2 linked regions of the Danio rerio genome follow. The protein of the gene in region 1 interacts with the protein of each later gene in a biochemical or structural test. Links are inferred from orthologs where the notes say so. Each region holds a gene or a part of one and is shown on either strand. Other genes may lie near its edges.

Region 1 (6,202 bases):
AAAATAAATGACTGACCTCAACACAGAGTAAATATTTTAACTATTAAAATCCTATGACTAAAGAAACTGAACTGACCGGTCCTCGCCCTCCTCCTCCGGATGACTGCCGACCCAAGTTAGCATATGAAGGTGTGAAATCAGGCCCACAGTTCATCAGACTCCTGGGGTCCAAGGGCCGCAAGGGGGTTTTATTTGCCTGTTATACAAACAACAAGTGAGTGAATGTAACTTTAAAAACTAAACGGCACAGGATAAATTTGAGGGGTCCAGATGCAAGGTTCACCTTGTCCAAGACAACATCACTGATGTGTGGCAAACCCTCTGGCTTGTGCATGCTTGCACTAATGAACTGAAAGCCAAGCAGGAACTCTCGATCATATCGTTTCTTCTCCTCTGGGTTGATTGGTTTCCATTGTTCTGTTAGGGAAAAAAGTTGCAGGATAGACCAAAATGAGACATTTAGACAATGCGACTGCCTTGCACAAGACAAGCTACACACCATCGTCAACAAAACACCATCTTCAGCTAAAAAGAAAAAACCTTCTGCACATTTCGGCTATTCACTTATGCCTAGTTCAGACTGTGTGATTTTAGCCGCGATTTCGGCTCGCCCCAGGTTTTGAGAAATCGCCGACAAATGCCTGAAATCACAGGCAAATCGGTGCTCGTGCATGTGAGTGCCAATCACACAGTATGAACCATCAAAGATGCGATCTGAGAGAATCGCCGATGAGTCAAATCATGCCGTACGTATTTGCACAACGTATTTGAGGACCGGCAGGGAGACACAATTTCCGGGAGATTATCATTCGTTTGCAGGCATTCGGTAGTCTCTGTGCATTTGCGGAAAACTCCCAGAACTTCCGGGAGACTTGGGATGTCTGGAATGACCTTCCACCCTACTCTTAATTCTCTCTTCGTATTGCCATATGCCTATTACATATCCATAAAACACTATGAAATTGCCGTGCTTGGATCATATCGCTTTCTTACTACAATCGATCCGCTCCAGAGTTCGTTTCAATCAAGCCGAGACCACCTCATTCAGGTGATCTCGGAGCGATTGTTTTGGCGCGGATCCGAGCGCAATTGCTGGATTTACATATGCCAAACGAACCATGCTAACTAGGCAATGGAGACAGGTTCCGAAATAAAAGTCTAGATGTGAAACCACCCTTAAACTACAACTTTGAGGGGGGGAAATGGTGGCAAAGTGTTTGCTTTGAACAATAACATTTTACTTAAAATGTGATTTTTTTTTTGTGAATACTGTGATGTTTCACATATGCATTTAACAGGTTAAGTATTGGCGCACAACATGACATGCAAAACAATGAATGTGCGTAGACGTAGTGTATCTCTTTACAAAACATATCACTGGCAAGCACACAATGCATAATTTGTAAATTATTAAATTAGTTTTAACGGGAATCTTTTTGACAGCAGTTGATTGTAAATGTAATTAATCAAAAACGAAATGAGTAAGCATGTAAATGTATTTTAAAGTCAAGTCTTGATACATAAAATATCAAGTTCTAAGTTAAGGTAGGTTAATGGTCATTTTTCACCCCTATTCTCACCAAATTATACCAAACTTTGTAATTAAAATTTGCTTGATTCAAATAATAAAGGTTTTGTCAGCTCCTAATTTACATGTTATTATCAATTCTAAAGGATCATATGATTGTGGAGAATAGAAAAAGGAAGCTGAAATTTTTCCTTTAGTTTAAAACATTGAAAGAAATTAATAAATAATATAAAACTTGACCAGTTTTACTGATCGGATAAAGACTTTATCAACGCAAAACAATGCTTTAAAATTCCCCCCTGAATTAAAGCGCTCCTATAAGAGGATGAGTGATCTTTAATGAAGCTTATTTAACTTTGCTTCTAACCTTCTTTATATTGATATTTCTGTTCCACAGGTTTAGATGCCTCTGGCTCAATATTTTCTGTGTCGAGCTTGTCCTCTTTTTCCTCCCATGTTTCATCTGTCTCTTCCACTGGTGGGGCTGGGGGCTCTTTCTGAACCACCTCTGGCTCAGGAGCTGGCTTCTCCTCCTCTGGCTGAAACGGGTACACAAGATTCTTAAATCAAGATGCACACACACAAAAAAAAAAAGAAAAAAAAAAGAAAGAAAATAAAAACGTAATAAAAAAATAAATAAAAAAAAAAATCACAAAAGGTGCTACTGTAAAAACAAATGTATAATGACAGCACAAACCTCCTTGAAGGCATCTAGAACATCTCCAACATCCTTCTTATTCAGATCCTTGATCTTCTTTTTCTTCTTTAGCACTATTGGGGAGGCAGCTAGGGAGACAGTAACTAGAGTCAAACTTGGAAAGGAGATAAACAAATAATATTCTTTACAATCCTAATTTAATAATTTACCAACCTTGCATAGTTGTTTCTTCAACAAGGCAGACTGGTGCAGGGGTGGGGGCCTCTTCCGCTTTCTCCTTTTCGGTTTCCTCCACAGATGCTTTAACAGCTGTAAGGCAGCTCTGCTGGTCCTGTGGAACCACTTGTTCAGCAACTGGATTAGCGGAGCTCTCTGGCTTTACATCTGGAACCTCTGCAGAGTCCTGGGGCAAACCGTTTAACAAAGGCTGTTCCTTTGGCTCATCGGCAGCCAGTTCTGGAACGGGCATCTCTGTGATTACAGGGGCACCATCACGATCTTCAGCTACATTAGGAGAAGACTCCACCGCACTGGAGGCGACAACAGCTGGACTTGAGGCTGCTGTAACTTCTGTTTCAGCCACAGGTTCATACTCTTTCTCCTCGGCTTCCTCTGGCTCCACAGGAGCACAGGGCTCCTTGGGCTCCTTCTGAGCAGAGGCTTCAGGGAGCACTGGAGCATCCACACTGTCTGCAATTTGAGGCTCTGAAGTTTGGGGATTGTTTGCAGGAGGAGGAGAAGGAGAGGGTACCACAAGATCCTCTTCTGGAGGACTGGGAATCTTGCTCTCTGGTGAAGCAGGTCTGACTTCTGACTCGGGTTTAGAGTCGATGGATGAAGGTGCTGGGGGCTCTGGTGTCTTACATGGAGGAGGGGTGGACGCAGATGCAGGACTTACCATGGCCTTCACTTCATCATCTGAAGATCAAGCAGAGTAAACATTATTAAAAATAAAAATAAATTCTCTAACCAAAATGGATGGTTGACAAAAATGAAAATGATAAAAATGACAAGCTGCAGAAATTTCTTAAATTATTACACTGATGTCTGGAATACTCAATTCTGATTGGTCAGTTGTGACATTCGAAGGTATATTATTCCCAGTTAACAACCGCTGAATAGCAGATGCTCATTTGGTAAACTTCAAAATCACCATGACCTGTGTTCACATCCATATATTAATATCCAAATTAAAGTGTTACATTATGTAACACCGCTGTTTTTGACTGTTTGGCCCCATCTTAAGAATGAATAATACATAGGTTGATCTATGCTCCATTTAACCAGTTTCATTTCTGCTTGGTGTTTGGTACCATCTTGTGACTGAACAATGTGCAAGTTAGTTCCATCAGCTCTAGTCAGCTGTTTTAGTTTCTGTCAGCTTTGCTTTAGTTAAATTAATAGACTGTTATGACTCAGAACAATGTTTTGTATCAAATGTTTTTGTTTTGGGGCAATAAGCGAAATAAAGTATGTCAGACTGTTGTTTTTGTCAAATTAAGCTCTTCAGTCTTCTACAATCAGTCTTATCTACTGTATCAGGCTGCTGCTAAGCCTGTTAGTAAAACTGCAGATTGATGGTAACATCTAAGCCCCACAGTAGTGACAATACACCACTGAAGTAAATCTTTGCCATTAATTGTACTTTTAGCAACATTTTTAAAATAAATACATTTAAAATAAGTGTTTAATAGAAAACAATGACACTTTTACAGGTTTAACTTTTTTAAATTGGTCTGGAACACAGTGAAAACTCCATCAACTCAAAAGTATGTTAACTCTGAAATGAGACTCTTGGTTTTCCGTTTTTAAATGGCAGGTTTGGCAAACTCAAGAAAGCAGGGTAAGCCAAGCCTGTTTCTGAAAGAGAACTTTTACTCAGACACATGAGTGCACATTTAAATCCATTTAAAAACTCAATTTTAGAAATTTTATCCTAAACTGATCAATGCGAGTAAAAGTGGGAATCTTAAATTAAACATTTCTGAACATCAAGTTTAGGTTATATGCATTCTTGTTTTGTCAAATTTGCAGTAGAAAATATGCAGTAGCCTATTTTATACGATTTAATGCAATTACGTCTGAAATTACTTTCAAATTACGGCCAACTCCCCACTTTAAGTGAAAAGTCAATAAACGTCACATTACATTATTAATTTTTTATTATTCTTCAATATTTAAATACTTTAAACGTAAACTTGCACAATAACTTAAATAGCTATGTTTTCCACACTCAGTCTCTGTTTCGCTGATACAGTGGTGTTGCTTTTTTTTTTTTTTTTTTTAAATATATGGTTGTATTTGTTGCATGAGCACATCAGGTTCAGCTGGAGAAAAATGCTGATCTCTTTTTTTTCAGATGTTGCCATGGTGACTCATTATCTACGCTCCATTGATAATACCTTTTTATAATTGCAGTGTGCACGCTTAACTCTGAATCAGTCTACTCAGACTTGATTGACCCAACTCCTATCCGCTTTTCTGAAACAGAACTCTTAAGTTTTTAATCTCTTAGTAAGTCAACTCAGTTTATAGATTTAAACTTCCAGTTGGTTCAACCTCCTTATTGAAACATTCCTTATTTTGAGGTTATTGATGCATACGCAAGTGGATAAATCCAATCTATCAGACATGGAAATCACATTTGAAACTTGCCACTTTTTTCAGGATGGAAAAACAGTTTTGGCAATAATGTACTTTTTTTGCTTGTTATTATTATTATTATTATTATTAAGAATGTATACTCACCAGTGCTGATCTCAGCAGGAAAAGTTGGAACGCTTTCACCATTGGTCTGAACTGGACTTCCCACTTCTGTACCAGCAGTCTGGAAAAACAAAACAAAACAATGAACTCATTGTAATATAAATGAGCATGGCATAATGAACAAAAGCATGAAAGTGTCAAACCTGTGGAGGAGTTGGTGTGGAAGTCGTTCTTCCACCAGACATTATCTCCTCTGTGATATCACGTCCACCCTGGTTGGGGTCACGTATCCTTATCTGTTAAGCGGCATCAGGTAAGTGACAAAAAAAAAAAAGTACTAAATCGAAAAACACAGCAAAAGTCGTTTCCACCCACCTGTTTGCGTTCTCTGGGTTTGACTGGCCCTGTCGGCTGTGGAGCAGCTTGCTGTGGAAGTGGAGCCTGTTGCTGCTGAGCAGGGTTCATCATCACAGGTGTAGGAGGCACTGGCGTTTGGTACTGCTGTGTTGCAGGGTAGTAGGCAGCTGCTAGACCACAAATAAGGCAAAAAAAAGACAAGATCAGACACCAAGATAAGACTTTTTGCTGTAATGGGAGGGGGACCCACATGCAAAGTACCCCCCTACCCTGTAAAATCACTTCCAGACTCCCTGAGGAAAACAAAGAAAAATCAATATTTCATTAACATAGCTTCTTTCTATTCATAATAAAAGGCTAATTCACCCAAAAACTGTAATAATCATCCTCAGGTTGTTTTATACACTCAAAACTCTAATTCATCCTTAATGCCACTCCATTGAAGGGTCCAGAAAGGTAGTAAAAATTGCGTTAAAAAATGCAGGCTCACAAGAGCATTTCTTGTACTACTTCCTCGATACAAGACAGCACCACCACGCATTCGTGCTTTGTTCACACTGGAGCTGAGGTACAGGTAGGGATGCAACGATATAGATTTTGGTTGTACGATTAGTCTGAGAAATAATCATGGTTATCATGATTATTATGCATTCATTCATTTCAAAGTAAAAAAAAAAAACTTAACATAAAAACTCCTCATATTTGAAAGAGTTATTTATTGCTGCTCAGTAACTAAATACAGCACAAAATAATAATAATAAAAAAACAATAGTCCCTAAAACTATTTCCCTTTTGACTTAGAAATATGTGAAAACTAATTTTTGGCATAAAGTAATAAATTAAGTAATAAAGTAATAAATTAAGTAATAAATTTACACTGAAAATAAATGACAGAACAATGAATAAATGAATAAAAATAAGAATAAATAATAAAAATAGTCTAATGCAGGGGT
Region 2 (6,903 bases), on another chromosome or scaffold:
GCCTTATAACTGTCACTAATCACTGCAAACCATAAACATGACAGCTCACATTCCTCTCAACTCACCTCCTTCTCAACATTAATGTAGAACTGCCGGATACCCTCAAGGGTCAGCTCTTCTTTCTTAACTAGGATACGAACGGGATCCCTCATGAACTTTGTAGTCACCTCCAGCACCTCCTGAGGCATGGTGGCAGACAGAAGAATCACCTGTGAAAAAAGGTAAGACCCTCTATTAGGTTCAGGCCTCAAAATAAATTGAGACCATAAAGATTAATAGTTGGACTGATCAAAGCAAAAAGCAGCCATATTCAAACCTTTAATAAGTATGTATGTATTTTTTTTTATTTAGTGCCATGTCAGCAACCAAGGCTATCTTCATGGCAGGAATCTTTCAACAATAAATATACAATTTAAAAATCAACAAACAAAATAAAACAAATTAAGATGTGTGTTAATACATGATAAAAATTCTAAAATCTTTTCTGGTTTCACTTTGTCAAAAATGTCCTTAAAAGAGTTCATTTCATAAAAAGTCTTTCTGGAATCAGTAAAAGCAGGACAGTCCAGTAAAATATGTTTTACAGTAAGAGGAGTTTTGCAGCACAAACACCGAGTAGGGTTTTCACCTTGGAGCAAAAAACCATGTGTTATTCTCGTATGCCCAATACGACATCTGGTAAAAACTACTTGATCAAATCGATTCTTAAAATGTCTTACAATTCTGTGTGAAACTTCAGGTTGGATTTCCTTTATGAAGTAAAAAGTAAAACAAATATTTTTTTTTAAATTTAATGTCAGCTGCTTAAATAGTTATGAACAGGGACTGAAGAGCCCAATCATAGTGGAGAGCAGTTACTTCACTCTACCAAAGAACTTGATACCCATCACAGCACAGAGCGCTGGCAGGTGAGGGAACTTTGGCGTGGATGCACACAAAATAATATAGACTTGTTTACCTGAGTGTCTGTGGCCAACTTCTGAAAAATTTCATAGATTTGGTCCTTGAAACCACGACTTAACATTTCATCTGCCTCATCCAGGGCAAACATCTTTATATATTTAGGAGCTGGAGGAGAGGTGAAAGAAAAAAAAAAACGCAAATTAGCCAATTAAATAGAATTAAAAAAAAAGAACAAAACTCAAATTCTAGAATTAGACTTGAAATCAAGATGAACCAAATCAAGTACTTACAGAGATATCTGCGGTTGAGCATGTCAAACACACGGCCAGGGGTTCCGACCACTATGTGGGGCACATCAGCTTGAAGCTTCTGAACATCATTACGAACATTGGTACCCCCAATGCAGGCATGGCAAGTTGCCCCCATGTAGTCTCCAAGAGCCAAGACCACCTTCTGAATCTGAGGAGAACAGAAGAGAGTTCTGCATCAGCTTGAGAGATCAATCCCATTTAACATTCATTGCATCTGAAACTAGCTGAGCTCATGAGTCAAGTTAAGACAAGTATGTGCCCATAGCATGAAACAGTCTTTTTCTCACTACGTTGAGCCGACTGGGATGAATATGGCCTTCATTTCCTCTGCCCCTAACAGATATAAGCTTTGTGCCACTGGCAGGCACAGCTTTGCCCAGATGATAGGGGACACGTGTATAAAACTGAAACATTTGCAAGACTTTATCTTGTGTCCCTAGTGTTGAATGTGAAATGGTTCGCACCTGTTGGGCCAGCTCTCTGGTAGGTGCCAGAACCATAGCTTGTGTGGCCTTCAGCTCCACATCAATCTGCTGCAGGATGGAGATGGCAAACGTGGCAGTCTTTCCTGTGCCGGACTGAGCCTGTGCAATGACATCATAACCTATAGAGAGAATATTAATTATTATTATTTGGTGTTTCACAGTCGGTTACTCACTAAAGCCTTCAAGGAGTATGCCGAGGCAGTTTGTGCCCATACCATGAAACAGTCTATGCCTCACTGTATTGAGATGACTGGGATGAATATGGGCTTTATTTCCTCTGCCCTTACCAGATATAGGTCAGAGTGTCACTGACAGACACAGCCTTGCCCAGATGATAAGGGCGTGAATAAACAAATATTTTCGTTCAAGTAAATATGCCAAGCAAATATAGATGGATAGTTACATTTCTACATACCCTTGATACAAGGGAGGATTGCCCTTTGCTGAATGGCGGAAGGTTTCTCAAAACCATAAGCATAGATTCCTCTGAGAAGTGCCTCTCGCAGGTTCATATCATCAAAACTATCAACAATCTCCTTCCAGTTGCTCTGTAAAATAAATGTGATTTATAGTTGATTATTATTAACACACGACAACTCATTTTTTGCACCTGAATATAAATAGCTTACAAGTAACTATTTTATTACTTTATTTCAGGGTTGCATAATGTTTTGTTGAGTATTCTATGATTTTTATTGCAAAAAAAAAAAAAAAAGATTTAAGTATATATGGACTTCTGTAGCCTCTATAAATTGTATAACCGCCTCGAAATAACATGAAGCCCTGATTTTACATTTAAATTTGTGGACAGATCAAAGATAAGGAATTCATGACCCACTATGTTTAGTTATATGTAATATCTGTATCTAATTACTACCTTTATTCTATAGTGATTCCTGCTATCCATAGACACAAAGACGTATACAATATTGTGGTTATAAATACTTTAGGTGAAATGGCTCTTAAGAGACACCAACCTCAATGACTCCATCTGGCTCCATCCCCTCCGGGCCATTGTCTCTGGGTCTGCAATAAGAGGTTGTAATTAGTACATTGACAACTCATTTCGCAAAATTAATTTCTCAGTGCCAAAATCTGAACATCTCCAAAGAACACATTAACTGAACTTTACTACTGCATAGAATGTATGTATATATATGTATATATATATATATATATATATATATATATATATAAACCCACCCCCCCCCCAAAAAAATTGCTCAGACTGTGAGGCATAGTCACAGTCAATCTCCATTCACTTTCATTGCGTCATTTCCCACATACTGAAAGTAACGGTGACGGAGACTGTCACTCCACCTAACATTACTTTTTATAAAAATGGGTCCGACAGGTTTGTTTTTCGATGTTCATTATTGTTTAGTTAAACTGAGACAGAACTTAAAGAAACTGATATAGCAACCTCTGAAATCTACGTTACCAAGAGGCAGCCATTTTCGCTCAGCGCCATTACCAACGTGGCTCCACCGAGACACATTCATTCGCATATTCAACATTAATCTATTACTACAACATCCAATCTTATAAAAAACGTCACGAAACAGCATAACCACGCAGATTGATATACCATTTAATTAACACGCATGTTTCTCGATTATGAAGTTACAGTATATCAAGTTACATATTAAACAACGACACCGCTTCGCTTCTTTTTAAATCCATAAAAATACCACCCTTTAAAGTTATAAAATTTTAATCTTAGAAAATAGTTGGTTTGAAATGGTTGAAAACAGGCCTTGACGTTAGGCCTAACGTTATACTCCCAGACCACACTCCATTGTCTCGCCCATGAAAGGCCATGTGCCATACATATCCTCTCGATTGAGGGCTTAAATCTGCCAACAAAGTCGGTTTTAATAATGGATGGCATCCGAAACAATGTTCTCGAGTAGAGTACATAACAATGAATGTTGAAAATGTCCGCAATCGGTTCAAAACGAGGGAAATGAAACGGCCATGTGCCGCATGGACGCGCCGGTCACACGATGTACTGAAGCAGCGCGTGAGACACGTTGCGTCACAAGAACCGGCATTTTAACGGAACATCGAAAATATGGCACCAATTCATCTTAAAACACTTTTTAGTTAACATCAATACGATATCCTAAAACAAAACGACAAAATCGCAGGAAACTGGATTAAAAACACACTTTTCTAAACGATTTTAACGAGGCGGGAACAGGGCGAGCACGAACATGCCAAATCGGCAAATAATGCTAGTTTTTAAACCGCTAATGAACAATCTTTTACTACAATACATCTTAAATCGATAAGAATTCCTAATTGTTTTCCATAAATAATCAATATTTTAACAGATAGAAAAAACATTCGTCGAACACGTTATCTTACCTATCTTCATGTTCAGACGACATTATTACAAAGGACTGTAGACTGGCGGAAACGCGCAAATACTTAAACCGTGACGATGTTCAAAGTCCATTGATTGGACGTCTTGCCGTTCAGTCAGCCTGTAGTCCCGCCCAGTAACAACTCTCATTGGTTAGTTAACGATTGGCACCGCCCTATCATAAGCGCCTATTCATAGACGTCACGAAATGGGGAAAAATCCTAACTGGAACTTAAAACAAATTTCAAAGGAAATGTGATGCTTAGAAAGATACTTTCTAAATGGTAAATACCTTTTTAAATGACGTAAACCAACTACACGTATAAAAAAATAGCACAAATTACAGGTTTTCGTCGAAAACATTTTGAGTCCATTTCTTTATAGAATATGCTAACGTAAATAACGTTAAATGACAATACGAAGACCTGTTTGTTTTTATGATGGGTTTAAATGGACATACATATTTGAGTACCTTTACTATTTATGTCACTCGCTGTTGAAATGTTTCAAAATGGTTCTGACAGCATTCAAATGTAAAATCTTACTGGGTCAAATGTAAAATGTTACTGGGTCAAATAATTTGCTGCTGACTTCAAGATAGTACAGGACAACCCTCCCTTATTGCCCAATGTCTTGTCTTCCTCTGCATAAATGTCGAAAGTGAGTCATTTATGATTCACAGCTGTTGTTCCCATTTAACAGTTCTTACAAATATGAAGGCTTAAAACAGCTTACTGGTATTACTTCCAGTTTAAGAAAGGATGAGCACAGTACAAAGTAAACAGTGTGGTGATTCAGTAACCCATCATAACAAATTGGGCTATTTAAGTGACAAAAAAAAGCATGTAATTCTTGATGAATGCATCAATTATTATTTTCGCATGATGATTTATTAAAAACAAAACGGCAGACATGATTTGTTACTTGCATTTTAGCACAGTTACTCTCATGCCAACATTTCTGATTAGGAGTTTTGCAACAACTTTATGCGCAGAACAAAAAAATGAAACCCAACACAGAATGTTTGACTCAGGCAGCAACACACAAGGGCCTGCCTGGCAGTCAACTGTTAATAACCTCCGGTGTCTCAGTCAAGGCGTTGGGCTCCAATACGAAACCAAACAGAAGAGTTATACAAAACAAAAACACAAGTGACTTGAGGATGAAATTTCCTCAGTGTGGAGTCTCTCAGGCTTTTTGGACAAATGTATCTTTTTTTGTTTTGTTTCCCTCACTGGCTGTGCAGTCTTGACACGAGTATCACAGTGAGAGTTTGCAATGACACAGTTCTTTGTACATCATTCTCCTCAGCTTGGGCATGTCCTGTTGACTGAAGCTGAAGGGCTGGCCTAATGCAAGACACTTGCAATACTAAAAAGAAGGTGGAGAAAATAAAGAGAAAAAGAAAGGGTGAATCTTCAATGTAGAACTGAAAAAAAGGCATCTCAACACTGTAGTTCTTTTCTTCAAACACTTTAAAGCAGGGGTGTCAAACTCAGTTCCTGGAGGGCCACAGCTCTGCACAGTTAAGTTTCAACCCTGCTCCAACACACTCACCTGTAGGTTTCAAACAAGCCTGAAGGACTCAATTAGTTTGATTAGGTGTGTTTAAATGGGGTTAGAACTAAACTTTGCAGAGCTGCAGCCCTCCAGGAACTGAGTTTGACATCTGTGCTTTAAAGCAGTGGTCACCAAACTTGTTCCTGGAGGTCCGGTGTCCTGCAGATTTTAGCTCCAACCCTAAATAAACACACCTGAACAAGCTAATCAAGGTCTTACTAGGTATACTTGAAACATCCAGGCAGGTGTGTTGAGGCAAGTTGGAGCTAAACCCTGCAGGGACACTGACCCTCCAGGACCGAGATTGGTGACCCCTGCTTTAAAGGGTTAGTTCACTCAAAAATTTAACATTCGTCAATAATAGGGTATATGCAGAGCTAGTGCTTCTTCCCATACTGATAAACATCCGGTGAACGGTTTTACAGCATCGATGTTGTAATGTAATTAAAATATAATCAGTTAAAAAGACTTTGTCATTCATTTAGTTGCTCAAGCGTAAAACGAGATGATTTACATGCACGCGCCCATCAGTATTAGCAGGCTAGCGCAGAAGCTCCATTGAATATACTGGGGTAAAATAAATGTTCATATTTTAAAGACATGGCAGGGAAAATGTAATTTAATGCAGTGCTTCTTGTACAATCTGAGACCCACTTTATAACAGATGTCAGTCAGGCAGTGGAGATCGCTGATTTTGAAAGTAAACACACCTCAAACGCGCCTATTTTGTAACTGAATACAGTTTACTGGAAACGATTGACCCAGGTAACTGACAAATTAAAAGTCCTTCCGAATACTTTCGCATCTACCCTATTATTCACCCTCATGTCAATCCAAACCCCAGAGACCTTTGTTCATCTTCAGACCACAAATTAAGATGAAGTTGAATTCTGAGAGCTCCCTCATTCTCAATAGACAGCAACGGTCAGGACTTACTCAAAGTCCAGAAAAATACCAAAACCATAAAAAAAATGTTTTTTAAATTACTATTTCGATTTTAGTTTTTATTTATGTGGAGATATTGTTTGGAATTGTTGTTTTGAGATCATAAGCAGAACGACCTACGAACTCTACAAGAGCGTTGAAGATGGCTTCTGCAAACTATCTTCAGTACACTTTATTTATTTGAATCTCTGACTTCGGCTCTTCTTCATCAACTGACTGGTAATTTTTTGGGCTAAAACTGTAGAATAAAGTCATTATTTCTGTTTTATGAGTGCAAAAAAGTATTCTTGTAGCTTGATAATATTCTGATTGAACAACTGAAGGTATAGAC

The links.
Region 2: the proteins of eif4g1a (region 1) and eif4a1a form a complex in vitro, tested with the Homo sapiens proteins (3 studies listed by IntAct, with this or other methods). The link is inferred for Danio rerio from reciprocal best matches to the Homo sapiens genes EIF4G1 and EIF4A1.

Annotation. Positions count from the first base shown.
Region 1 is NC_133177.1:19,188,627-19,194,828, reverse strand, and holds part of eif4g1a (eukaryotic translation initiation factor 4 gamma 1a), read right to left. Parts: intron 5,420-6,202; coding exon 5,268-5,419; intron 5,189-5,267; coding exon 5,096-5,188; intron 5,014-5,095; coding exon 4,935-5,013; intron 3,105-4,934; coding exon 2,400-3,104; intron 2,315-2,399; coding exon 2,226-2,314; intron 2,068-2,225; coding exon 1,896-2,067; intron 418-1,895; coding exon 284-417; intron 197-283; coding exon 77-196; intron 1-76.
Region 2 is NC_133182.1:26,545,297-26,552,199, forward strand, and holds the start of eif4a1a (eukaryotic translation initiation factor 4A1A), read right to left. Parts: upstream 4,135-6,903; 5' UTR 4,093-4,134; coding exon 4,070-4,092; intron 2,726-4,069; coding exon 2,677-2,725; intron 2,248-2,676; coding exon 2,115-2,247; intron 1,819-2,114; coding exon 1,679-1,818; intron 1,363-1,678; coding exon 1,194-1,362; intron 1,069-1,193; coding exon 959-1,068; intron 210-958; coding exon 66-209; intron 1-65. Other genes in the region: senp3b (sentrin-specific protease 3b), read right to left, coding at 5,328-5,438. UniProt on the Homo sapiens protein: ATP-dependent RNA helicase which is a subunit of the eIF4F complex involved in cap recognition and is required for mRNA binding to ribosome.